Callithrix jacchus: one gene and its partners. The protein of the gene in region 1 interacts with the protein of each later gene in a pairwise test. Links are inferred from orthologs where the notes say so. Each region holds a gene or a part of one and is shown in the gene's direction. Other genes may lie near its edges. The genes, in order: TK1, TLE1 and PTPRK.

Region 1 (3,647 bases):
CCAAACTGTGGCCTTGGAATGCATCCAGGGATTCTGCATCAGCTTTGGGGGCATGGCCCTCTCAGAACAAGGAAGAGCAAGGAAGCTTTAGCTTTGGCGAGGCTCTCCCTGCCTTCAGACCTGCCACTGTGAGTTGCTCAAGAGCTCTGCTCTGGCTCTGCATAAACCTTGTTGACAGATGCTGACCCAGACCCCCCCCAGGCAGAAACCTTTCCCTTCTCCTTCCTCCTTCCGTAACATCCAGGAGCCAGCATATTAAGTCCTGTCCCGTTCCAGCCTGAAGGAGAGATTTCTCAGTCTACTTCCTCCCTGGCCCACAAGTAAAACTTTAGTTCATTCAGGGAGTGCTTATTACACCCCATATCCAGACATCAGCCTTGTGCCATTCTGTGTGCCCTTGTTCCTTTCTAGAAGTTTAGCATCTTCCCACTGCAAGCATTTCTAGATGGAGGAGAGGGGTTCCTAGTATGGGGACCCACAGAAGGACTGTCCTTCCCTCCTTCATTGTCTACGTGGACAGTGGAAGAAGCCCAGCCTGACCTGCCTTGTTCCTGTTTTCTGGGTCAGCAGGGAAAGCCTTTCATAGAGTAGCCACCATGCCATCCTGAGGAAGGCCCTAGGTCAGAAGCTTCTGTGCTTCTTTGTATGCCGGGTGAGGCACAGTGGCGCTCACACTGCTTTGTAGAAATTGTTGGCATGCAAGAGAGAGTCATGTGGAGACCCCAAAGCCACTAGCTGGGCGTGCTGTGCTTCAGATGCTGGTGGTGGGTGAGCACCCTGGCCCCAGCACCTCCCCGATGCGTTCATCAACAGCTGTACAGTGTCTGGCGGGCCTGCAGGGTTGCTTGGCAATAGTGGAAGCTCTGATTTTTTTAAACTTTTTTTTCTGGCTGGGCACAGTGGCTCACACCTATAATCCTAGCGTTTTCGAAGGCCAAGGCGGGCGGATCACTTGAGGTCAGGAGTTTGAGACCGGCCAGGCCAACATAGTAAAATCCCGTCTCTACTGAAAATACAAAAATTAGCCGGATGTGGTGGCACACACCTATTATTCCAGCTACTTTGGAGGCTGAGGCAAAATCATCACTTGAACCCGGGAGGCAGAGGTTGTGGTGAGCCAAGATCATGCCACTGCACTCCAGCCTGGGTGACAGAGTGACTCTGTCTCAAAAACAAACAAACAAAAAAAACCAAAAAACGGTTTTTTGTGTTTTCTGTTCTACTAACACAAGTAATACAGGTTGAATGTTCCTTATCGTAAATGCCTGGGACCAGAAGTGTTTGGATTTCTGATTTTTTCAGATTTTGGAATATTTGCATATATATAATATAATGAGACCTTGGGAATGAGTCCCAACTGTAAATACAAGATCCGATATGTTTATAGATGCCTTATCCACATAGCCTGGGAGTGATTTTATATGCTATCTGGTAATTTGGGCATGAGCCAGGGTTTTGACTGTGAGCTGTCCCATAAGGTCAGGTGTGAAATTTTCCACTTGTGGTATGCACTCAAAAAGTTTCAGGTTTTGGAGCCTTTTGGATTAGAGACTTCGTAAGTTTAATCTGGAAAAACTTAAGAGTCTGGCACAGTGGCTCATGCCTGTTATGCCAGCACTCTGGGAGGCCGAGGCACGCAAATTGCTTGAGACTAGGAGTTTGAGACCAGCCTGGGCAATATGGTGAAACCCTGCCTCTACCAAAAATACAAAAATTAGCCAGGAGTAGTGGCACATACCTGTAGTCCCAGCTAGTTGGGAGGCTGAGGTGGGAGCATCGGCTGAGCCTGTAGGTCCAGGCTGTGAGTCATGGTTGAGCCACTGCCCTCCAGCCTGGGCAATGGGGAGCAAGACTGGGAGCTGCCTTTTTGTGACATGTGATGAATCCTCAGAGAAAAAGAGAGAACACGTGCATGGTGGGGCAGGGCCCAGCGTGCTGGAGTCTCTGGGTTTTCTTTCTAGAGGCCCCTGCAGTCTGCTGAGCGCAGTCGGTTACATCAGGCTTCACCTGGATCCCACTGGAATTTTTCCAGTTATCCCCTAGTCCTCGCCTTGCTAAGCCCTAATGTCTTAATAACCTCAAACCTCAGTACCTGGGCTGAGGAAAGCCTGAGGGGCTCCTGGAGAGAGACCTGTGCCCAAGGACAGGAACATCCCCACTTCAGCCAACCCAAAGGCCAGTCTGGACATGTGAACTCAACCAGCTAAAAGCAATATGACTGATTGATGAGAATCACCAAAGCACTTGCTAGAGTTTCAGCTTCTCCCTGGGCCAAAGTGAAATTTGATGTAGGCAGTAAATGTGCTCTGTGCCGGCCCTGTATTTAGAAGGCTGTGCTGTGTCATCCTGCTCTGTAAATGGCCAGGAGGACCCCCACACCTTCTCAAGGCACATTACCTGTCTAAAAAGGCGAGGGGGCAAGAGCACAAAATGCCCAGCTACTCACTGAAGTGCATGTGTATAACTTAGTGCCTTCTGTCCTTACACAATAGGACCTTTCTTGCTATCGCTCAGTGAAGAGGAAACAGGTTCAGAGAAGTTAACTCACTGCCAAGGTCACACAGATAATGGTGTCCGCTCGGAATAGCGGTGTCCGAGCCCCAGGCAGCAGATGTCTGGCCCCAGCCTTTGGCCGCTGCAGTGTTAAACAGCACAGCAGGTGTGGAAGTCTGATGCTGAGTCCTGGGTACCTGGACTCGGAGCAGAAGCTGGCTGCAGAGGGAAGAGGCTGGGCAGTTGTGGATGTGCCTGTCATCTGCTGGGAGGGCACCCATGGACAGTCCCCAGCCTGAGGAACCTCATGGAAGAGTTAGAGTTGCTCCAGGCTGAATGGCGGGAGTTGTCTGATCTGGCAGCGTCTCTGCTGGGACTTCAGGGAGCTGCTGCTAGGGTGGAAACTCTCACGCTTTCTCCACCTTCCCTTTCCAGTTCCCTGACATCGTGGAGTTCTGTGAGGCCATGGCCAACGCCGGGAAGACAGTAATTGTGGCTGCACTGGACGGGACCTTCCAGAGGAAGGTAAGGTGTCTGATCCAGGTCTGGAGCGTGATTCCAGGAGGGGAGGGGGCTTCTGGGTGGCCAGGGCCCAGCCACTGTAGGGGCACAGTTGAGCTGCTCAGACCAGTCCTTGCCTGAGCCTAGGGACTCCCTGGTCTATGCAGACCAGGTGCCATCTGTTGCGGCAGGTGGTTTGAATTGGCAAGGAGACAAAGCCAGGCATGGTGCTCTGGGGGTTGGGGGAGGACTGAGGTCAGAGCAAACTTTCCTGGCTTCAGTGCTTATGAATCAAAGGGTTTAAAAGAAAACCCCGCCTGGGAAGGTAGCCGAGCACCCACTGTCTTTCCATGGGAGTGCAGGCATTTGGGACCATCCTGAACCTGGTGCCGCTGGCCGAGAGCGTGGTGAAGCTGACCGCAGTATGCATGGAGTGCTTCCGGGAAGCCGCCTACACCAAGAGGCTTGGCACCGAAAAGGAGGTACCTCCACCTGTCTTCCCTGCGGGCTGGTGGGGTGGGGGCGTGGCTCTGTCTCCTTCCTGTCCCGGCCCTTCACCCATCCCCTGTCCCTGCGGCTAGGTCGAAGTGATTGGAGGAGCAGACAAGTATCACTCTGTGTGTCGCCTCTGCTACTTCAAGAAGGCCTCAGGC
Region 2 (3,747 bases), on another chromosome or scaffold:
CAGGGGTACCACCCAGACTACGAGGGTGGGGTGGGCGGGACAAGTTTTTCAGGTCTCACTTCGGGTTTATGACTTTTTCTCTCTCTGTTCCCAGGAATTGGAAACACACTCATGGTCTTGTAGCTCAGAGGCTCCTAAAAACCTCAGCCGCTCCCCTCCTCTCCCAACACAGCGAAGTCAGGACTTTTAAGACTAAGACCTGGGATTTCGCGCCCCGGGGCAAAGCGTCTCCTTTGCGGACACGCGTGCCTTGTTCTGGCAGCACCCTGGGAATCTTTCCCGCCAAAAGGGGCAGGATTATCTTTTTGAAGAGTGGCGTGAAATCCTGCAATAAAATCAAATCCTACCACTTTGAGTGTAAAGGGGGTGATGGAGTGGGAGGACATCATAGTCGTCTTTGCGGCTGGTGTACGTACGCCAACCGTGGGGTTGCTCATTTACGCATTTCCTACTAAGTGCACAGTCCACTCCCTCTCCTACATTCGTAAAAAGGCACCTTAAGGAAAAACAAACCTCAAATAAATTTTTGAATGTGGCCTCACTTTGAGTAGCATCAAACAGGGGTCCAGCACCGAAAAACTCATTTTCTCGAATTACCAAAAACGCCCCTCCGCCTCCAATAAATAACTACGCAGCTAGTCTTTGAGTTACTTTCACTCAGATTTGAGGATTTTCATTAAAGGGAAAAGTGAGCAAGTGGCAGGATTTTTGCAAACTCGAGCCCCCAGCTTCCTCGGCGGCACGCTAGCCAGTCCCTCCCATTAGCGCGCTCCCGCGCTCTCCCTAGCCAGCCCCACGTTACTTTGATTGACAGCCCAGCCCCGCCGCTCTCCTTCCCACCGACCTTCCCATCTTCAGTGCCAATCTACGCGAACTGCCGCTTCCCATTGGCTGGTTTTGGCGTCCCGCGGCTCCTCCAGGAACAGTTCCTCGCCAAGCCCGGGAGGACGCGGCTGGCGGAGGAGGGGCCGGGGTGGGAGGGGAGACTGACGAGACGGCGGAGATAGAAGCGAGAGAACGGGGGAGGGAGAACTACCAGTCCGGCGCTGCGCTGCCATAGGCTCCGGGGAGGCGCGCGTCAGCGCCCCACGTTGGGTGCAGAGCACACGATTGGCTGATACGGGCCTCCTGCCCCTTCCCAATCTCCCGGGCCCACGTCCCCCGCCGGCTCCGCGCTCGCGCCCCCGCCCGCGTGGGGCTGGGCGGGGCCGGCGCTGGTTAGCTCCGGAGTGTGAAACCGCGTGTTAATGTAACCGGCGCGAGAGGCGCGGGCGGCGGCGTCGGCTGTGCGATCGGCGGCTGCAAGAGCAGCAGCAGCAGCGGCGGGTACTCAGTGCCCTGCGTCCGGGAGGCAGCCGACTGCGCCACCCCCACCCTCGCACGGCCGGGCGGGACCCGCGCCACCAACCCGGACCTCCGTCGTTCTGCAGTGACCAAAACCCCCGCCGGCCCCGCCGCGGTGACTATTCCGGACTCGCCCGCGGAGTTTGCCCGCGGGGGAGGGAGGCCGAGCGGCGGAGTGCACAACTGCAGTTTTCACCACCATCTCGAGGATGTGGTCTTTTGGGTGGTGAGAGAACTTTGCCGCGGGCTGCAGCGCCCTTTGAGGAGAGGCACACCAAGGGAAGGAAGAAAAGAAAGAAGACCGAAGAAGAAGGGACTCGGAATAAAGGTCCGGAGCGGCCGTGCCGGCCGTGCGGGGCGAGTGCGCGCAAGGCGCGGCGCCCTGATGCGCCTCGGGCTGGAGGAGCAGCTGGCAGCTGCGGGACTGCTTTCTGTGGAGTAGCCCCGTCGGGCCAGGAGGGTTTGTGCAACCGCGGAGAACACCGAGTGCTGGTCGCACGGGGCGTGCCGAGCCGCCTCCCGGCGCGCCCTCCGCACTTTCCCCGCCTCGTCATCCTTCGTTCCCCGGCCGGGATCCTCCGCCGCGTCCTCAACCTCTCTCTCCGCCGTGTCCCGGGAGCCCGCGAGCGCCCGGCCGAAGGCGCAGTCGGGTCTTGGGGGAGTCGCCCAGAAAGCGTCGGGTTTGTGTGGGGTTAGCCGGGGCCGCCGCGCCACCTGCACCTCGCCCGCCGCCACCGCCGCGGGGAAAACCCGGAAAGGAGGCGGATCAGGAGAAGAGCAAAGAAAAGCAGCCCGCCTGGATTTGTTTGCCCAGGACTGACGCCGCGCACGCGGATCGCCAAGGGGAGTGCGGTCGGAGCCACCGCGCCCCCGCCTCACCGCCCCGGCGGCTGAGGCTGGGGGGTTGGAGCGCAGCTCCAGCGCACAGTCTCCGGGCGCCTGGCGTCGTCGCGCAGGTTCTTGGAGCAGCTGGGCCTGGGGCGGCCGGTGATGTGGCCCTGAGGGCGGGAGCCCGCACCGACGGGAGCGGGAGCAGCTGCGGGCGCTGAGTGGCCGGTGCGCCCGGCCGAGCGCGCCTGCGTGCGTGGCCAGCGCGCCCCCCGCGCTCCCCGCTTCTGCCCGGCTTCCCGGCTTGATTTTCCTCGGCGGGATTAAAGTTGGAAATTGACCGGAGAATTGAGTTGCCCGGGAACAGAGCCCCGGCCGCCGCCAGAGCGATGTTCCCGCAGAGCCGGCACCCGGTGAGGCGCGGCTGGGTGGGGGGGTGCGGCGGGCAGGAGCGTTGGGGAGACACTTCTCCGGGGCGGTAGGGAGACGGGTGGCTTCTGCGGCCTGGAGGACCCTCTGGCCCTCAGCGGTGTAAGACTAGGAAGGTTCGGGACACCCTCCTCCTGGGTTGGGGAGTGGGCAGAAACTCTGGATTTTCTCCCTCCCTTTGGGTTCTTTCCTACTTGGCGTCTATACTGGGCGGACAGGGTTGCTGGAGAAGGCTAGGGTTTCTCTCGAGCAGCCGTATCCCTCCCCACCTTTCCCGAGGGCGGCCAGGCGCCCCCTCCCATTGTTTCTCCTCTCGGCTATTTACACGTCAATGCGGCCCCCGTTCCGGTGCGTCTGGAGGTGGCCCCGGTGACTCTGGGAATGGGGAGCGTAAAGGAGTTGTTTTTCTCCTCCAGTCCCCGGGGTCATTATCGCCCCCGTGGGGGAAGGGGCGGCGACACCGACAATCTGGCCTGGTCTTCCCCGGCCGCCGGGAAGCCCCCTTCCCTCTTGGCCTCGTGACCCGGGAGCACTTAGAGCGATCCGCCGGGGACGCTGGGAAGGGCTTTCGAGCATTTTTAGAAGCGGGGGCCGGGGAGGGTCCACTTTCCCCTTTCCCAAAGTGAAGCACAAACTCGAGTTTGGGACCTCGTTTTCAGCCACTTACAACTTTATTTTTTATGTCCGACCCGTTCCTTTCTTTTCTAACTTACTGCTTTATTCATCCGCCCTCATTCCCGTCCCTCGGTCCCCCTCGCTGGTCGCCCCCAGACGCCGCACCAGGCTGCAGGCCAGCCCTTCAAGTTCACTATCCCGGAGTCCCTGGACCGGATTAAAGAGGAATTCCAGTTCCTGCAGGCACAGTATCACAGGTGCGTGTCCGGCAACGCCAGGCGAGTGGTCTCGGGCGGCCCCGTGCCCCTCGTCGCCCAGCTGGGTAAGCGGCGGCGCCTGTACTTAGTTCTCGCGTCCAGGTGGTGGCGTTTGGAGTCGCTGTTAAGACCTGTCATTCAAGTTACCCCTTTTCGTGGCTCTTCCCGGGCCGCCTCTTCTCTTGTCTCCTCCTCCTCCCATTGTTTCCCTTTTGCTGGTTTGCTGCTGATCCAAGGAGTCCTTTTTGGTTTCTCTAGAAGTTGCATGAGAATC
Region 3 (3,647 bases), on another chromosome or scaffold:
TTGCTTACAAAGTTTCAGCTTGCTTGTATTACAGATGAAGCAGAACAGCAATAAAGTAAAAGTTGGCTGTAAGTAGGCTATAAAACAGGAACTTAAGAAATACTTACATTCATCTTAATGTGTGTAGTGTTACCCACAATTTAAAATGTAGAAACTCTGCTTTTAGTGGCAACATCTGTGTTTTTTTGTTTTCTGTTTTTATCACTTTTGCAAATCCCATATTGTATAGAATGCTAGGTTGAAATAGACATTTCTTGTCAATCTAGAAAATTCCCAGTAGAATTCCAGCTTTTAAAACTAAATTTGAGACACACAGAGTTACTAAATGGCCTAAATTGCAAGAATTTGTGCTATAAAACAGCAATTTAATTTTTTTTTTAAGACTTCACATTAGAGGACCTTGAGAACTGCATCAGTGAGATTCAGCAAATATATGCCAAAAAAACACAAACATTATATCCAGACTTACTTCTGATTAGAAATTTCTCTTAAAACAGGCATTTAGAGATTCTAAAAGCAAATTACATGGGCTCATTTTGAGGTGTGACCAGAAAAATAAGTACTGAATCTGAAAAGCTTTTCCTAAATGATGCTGCACACCATTCTCAAATGCTCTTCCCTCCAAGCTACATAATAGGTTGTAATTAAGCATTTTTTGCTTTCTGAAAATCCAATCTATTCATGATTTAGATAACCATATATAAAAGGGGAGGGGGAAGCAGAGAATGAAATAAAGGTAAAACATCCCATAGGATCAGATAATATGTACCCTGAAAACCAAACAAAAAAATCTTCCTTTCAATCCTCCTCATGAACTCTGATGTACTCTTCAATTACATCCCTGTTTCCAACTCTGGGAACTATGATTGAGAAGATGGTAGAGGACAAAAATAAAGAGAGACAGCCATAATATCTTTTGCTTAAATTTCTAAAAGAACAGTGAGTTTAAGAGAAGTGACCAAATCTGGATAACAAGGAAATAATGTTATTAGCCTATCTAACTACAGATATGAGTTAGTAGAAAATGAGATAAATATGTTTTCAGTTTAGGGATTTCTTGATTTATCAGAGAGGTTTACTTCCTTATGAATTGGTTGCTTCAGAAGTGCTCCTTATTTAAGGTTATGAAGGCTAACTAACATGCTTCTTACAATTGTTTTAATTATTTTCAGTGCTGGTGCTGGAAGAACTGGCTGTTACATTGTGATTGACATCATGCTGGACATGGCTGAAAGAGAGGGCGTTGTTGATATCTACAATTGTGTCAAAGCCTTAAGGTCTCGTCGTATCAATATGGTCCAGACAGAGGTATGTAGATTTACCTGTAGTGGACTTTTTTTTTTTTAAAAAAACAAGCAAGGGTAGATGTCTTTCATATATACTCTACTCAACCAAAAGAGTAGATTTTTTTTCATATGTAATCAATATTAGCTCAGTCATATAGAAAAATATTGGTACTTCAATTCATATTTTCATATAGAGAAAATTTTCTGTATTCTCTACCTTTGATGACAGAAAAGTGGTACCAAAAATAATACAAAATTTTCTTTGTCATTCTTTTGGTAGGAACAATACATTTTTATTCATGATGCCATTTTAGAAGCCTGCTTATGTGGAGAAACTGCCATACCTGTCTGTGAATTTAAAGCTGCATATTTTGATATGATTAGAATAGACTCTCAGACTAACTCTTCACATCTCAAGGATGAATTTCAGGTATTAACTATTTCTCAAACCTCTGTTATGACTTAATTCATTTTGTTCTGGATACTATCAGTCCTTTTAAGGAAGGTCTCAAGTCAAATGTATAACCTTTGATTCTGTTTTAAATATAATACATGTCTCTTTCATTATACATATTATATAGTCACTTTTCTATTAATGAATTCATATCTACTATATCTAAAATAAGTTCAGACTGAGGGAAGAGCAAGAGGGAAAGGTATCATAAAAGTCAAAATTAGTGGTGATTTCTGTGTATTTATAGACTTTTTTTCATACAGTCATACAGATTTTGACCTGTGTCACTCACAATGCGAGTAGTTCAAGCACATTAATTACAATAACCAAGTCTGGGCGCAGTGGTGGTTCTCACCTATAATACTAGCACTTTGGGAAGCCAAGTCAGGCAGATCTTGAGGTCAGCAGTTCGAGACCAGCCTGACCAACATGGCAAAACCTCATCTACAAAAAAAATACAAAGAAATAGGCAGGCATGGTGGCACAAGCCTGTGGTCCCAGCTGTTCAGGAGGTTGAGATGGGAAGATTGCTTGACCTTGGAAGGCAGAGACACTGTGGTGAGCCCAAGATACCGCCACTGCACTCCAACCTGGGGAGTAGAGCAAGATTCTGTCTCAAAAAATAATAATAAATGAAGTTGGTAGTAAATACTATTTCAAAATAGCCCTAAATGTTTTTACTGCCCTTAAAACATCTCTGAAGGTGACTGAAAAAATAAATAGGAAAGACCAAATTGTTTGATTGTTGGCCCAGTGCTCTTTCCAACATGCCATAGCTTATCTTCAAATATGGTAAGCCCAGAAGTTATTACACATGATACCGTTTCCCACTGTGATAAAGGGTCATTATCATCATGGACTTCCTGATTGTATTTTCTTTGGTCAAGGCAATGCATTTTACATGTAGCAATGCTGTTTAGCTTCCCTTTTCCTTTTAAGAAGAGGAGCAATGTGTGTCTTGTTTCACTTTCTCACTTCTCAGGCGTCATTAGCTTTAACCCAAAGTCTATCAGCTTGTCAGAGTAGCAAATGCCATTGCCTTGCACAAATCCTTCACTTCCACTTGGTCTAATAAATATCTGATGGATCTGTGTTATACTGTTAAATGGGTCACTGTCATTTAACCTGGGTTCCCTTTTCGTTTTAGACTCTGAATTCAGTCACCCCTCGACTACAAGCTGAAGACTGCAGTATAGCATGCCTGCCAAGGAACCATGACAAGAACCGTTTCATGGACATGCTGCCACCTGACAGATGTCTGCCTTTTTTAATTACAATTGATGGGGAGAGCAGTAACTACATCAATGCTGCTCTTATGGATGTAAGAGACTGCCCTCTTTGTTAGTGTAGAGTGCTGTGAAAAGCTATGTAATGCAACTGAACACTAGCTAGTTTTCTTTTCAAGAATATTGAAATAACCTGAAAAGAAAAATGGAAACTTTTATTGAAATATATTTTTTGGAGAATGATTTTAGATTTTCCCTATAGGAATTTTTCAGAACTATCATTTTTATAGCTTTATTATAGATTTAGAGATTGTCAGTTATTATATTCATAGAGTAAATATTACATGTTATAAATTTCATCTTAATTATTTTCAGAAAAGAAAATCATGCCTTACCTATTTGAATATAATTAGAAATAAATTTTTTAAATTACAGAATGCCAAATTCTACAAAAATTGTGTTAATTTGGGAAATTTTTATTTCCGACATTTGTTTTCATAGTTTACAATTAACTTGTTGGTTATTAAACAAGAAATACTATTATAAGTAACTAGAGAAGGGATGGATAGTATTATGTTAAACATCCATCATAATGAAAGAACGATCTTGCCCCATTCTAGTCTTAAACTGCAGAGTGTTGTAGCCCATAGACAGAACAATATGGAAAGAAAGGCTTTTTGT

Evidence for each region.
Region 2: the proteins of TK1 (region 1) and TLE1 interact in a two-hybrid assay, tested with the Homo sapiens proteins (2 studies listed by BioGRID and IntAct). The link is inferred for Callithrix jacchus from reciprocal best matches to the Homo sapiens genes TK1 and TLE1.
Region 3: the proteins of TK1 (region 1) and PTPRK interact in a two-hybrid assay, tested with the Homo sapiens proteins (2 studies listed by BioGRID and IntAct). The link is inferred for Callithrix jacchus from reciprocal best matches to the Homo sapiens genes TK1 and PTPRK.

What each region holds. Positions count from the first base shown.
Region 1 is NC_133506.1:133,959,170-133,962,816, reverse strand, and holds part of TK1 (thymidine kinase, cytosolic), read left to right. Parts: intron 1-2,928; coding exon 2,929-3,018; intron 3,019-3,356; coding exon 3,357-3,476; intron 3,477-3,575; coding exon 3,576-3,647. UniProt on the Homo sapiens protein: Cell-cycle-regulated enzyme of importance in nucleotide metabolism. Catalyzes the first enzymatic step in the salvage pathway converting thymidine into thymidine monophosphate.
Region 2 is NC_133502.1:101,338,448-101,342,194, forward strand, and holds the start of TLE1 (transducin-like enhancer protein 1), read left to right. Parts: upstream 1-1,249; 5' UTR 1,250-2,561; coding exon 2,562-2,585; intron 2,586-3,372; coding exon 3,373-3,473; intron 3,474-3,680; exon of another isoform or gene 3,681-3,747. Other genes in the region: uncharacterized protein LOC103792545, read right to left, coding at 845-986, 1,037-1,058. UniProt on the Homo sapiens protein: Transcriptional corepressor that binds to a number of transcription factors. Inhibits NF-kappa-B-regulated gene expression. Inhibits the transcriptional activation mediated by FOXA2, and by CTNNB1 and TCF family members in Wnt signaling.
Region 3 is NC_133505.1:134,537,186-134,540,832, reverse strand, and holds part of PTPRK (receptor-type tyrosine-protein phosphatase kappa), read left to right. Parts: intron 1-1,172; coding exon 1,173-1,308; intron 1,309-1,566; coding exon 1,567-1,716; intron 1,717-2,887; coding exon 2,888-3,061; intron 3,062-3,647. UniProt on the Homo sapiens protein: Regulation of processes involving cell contact and adhesion such as growth control, tumor invasion, and metastasis. Negative regulator of EGFR signaling pathway. Forms complexes with beta-catenin and gamma-catenin/plakoglobin.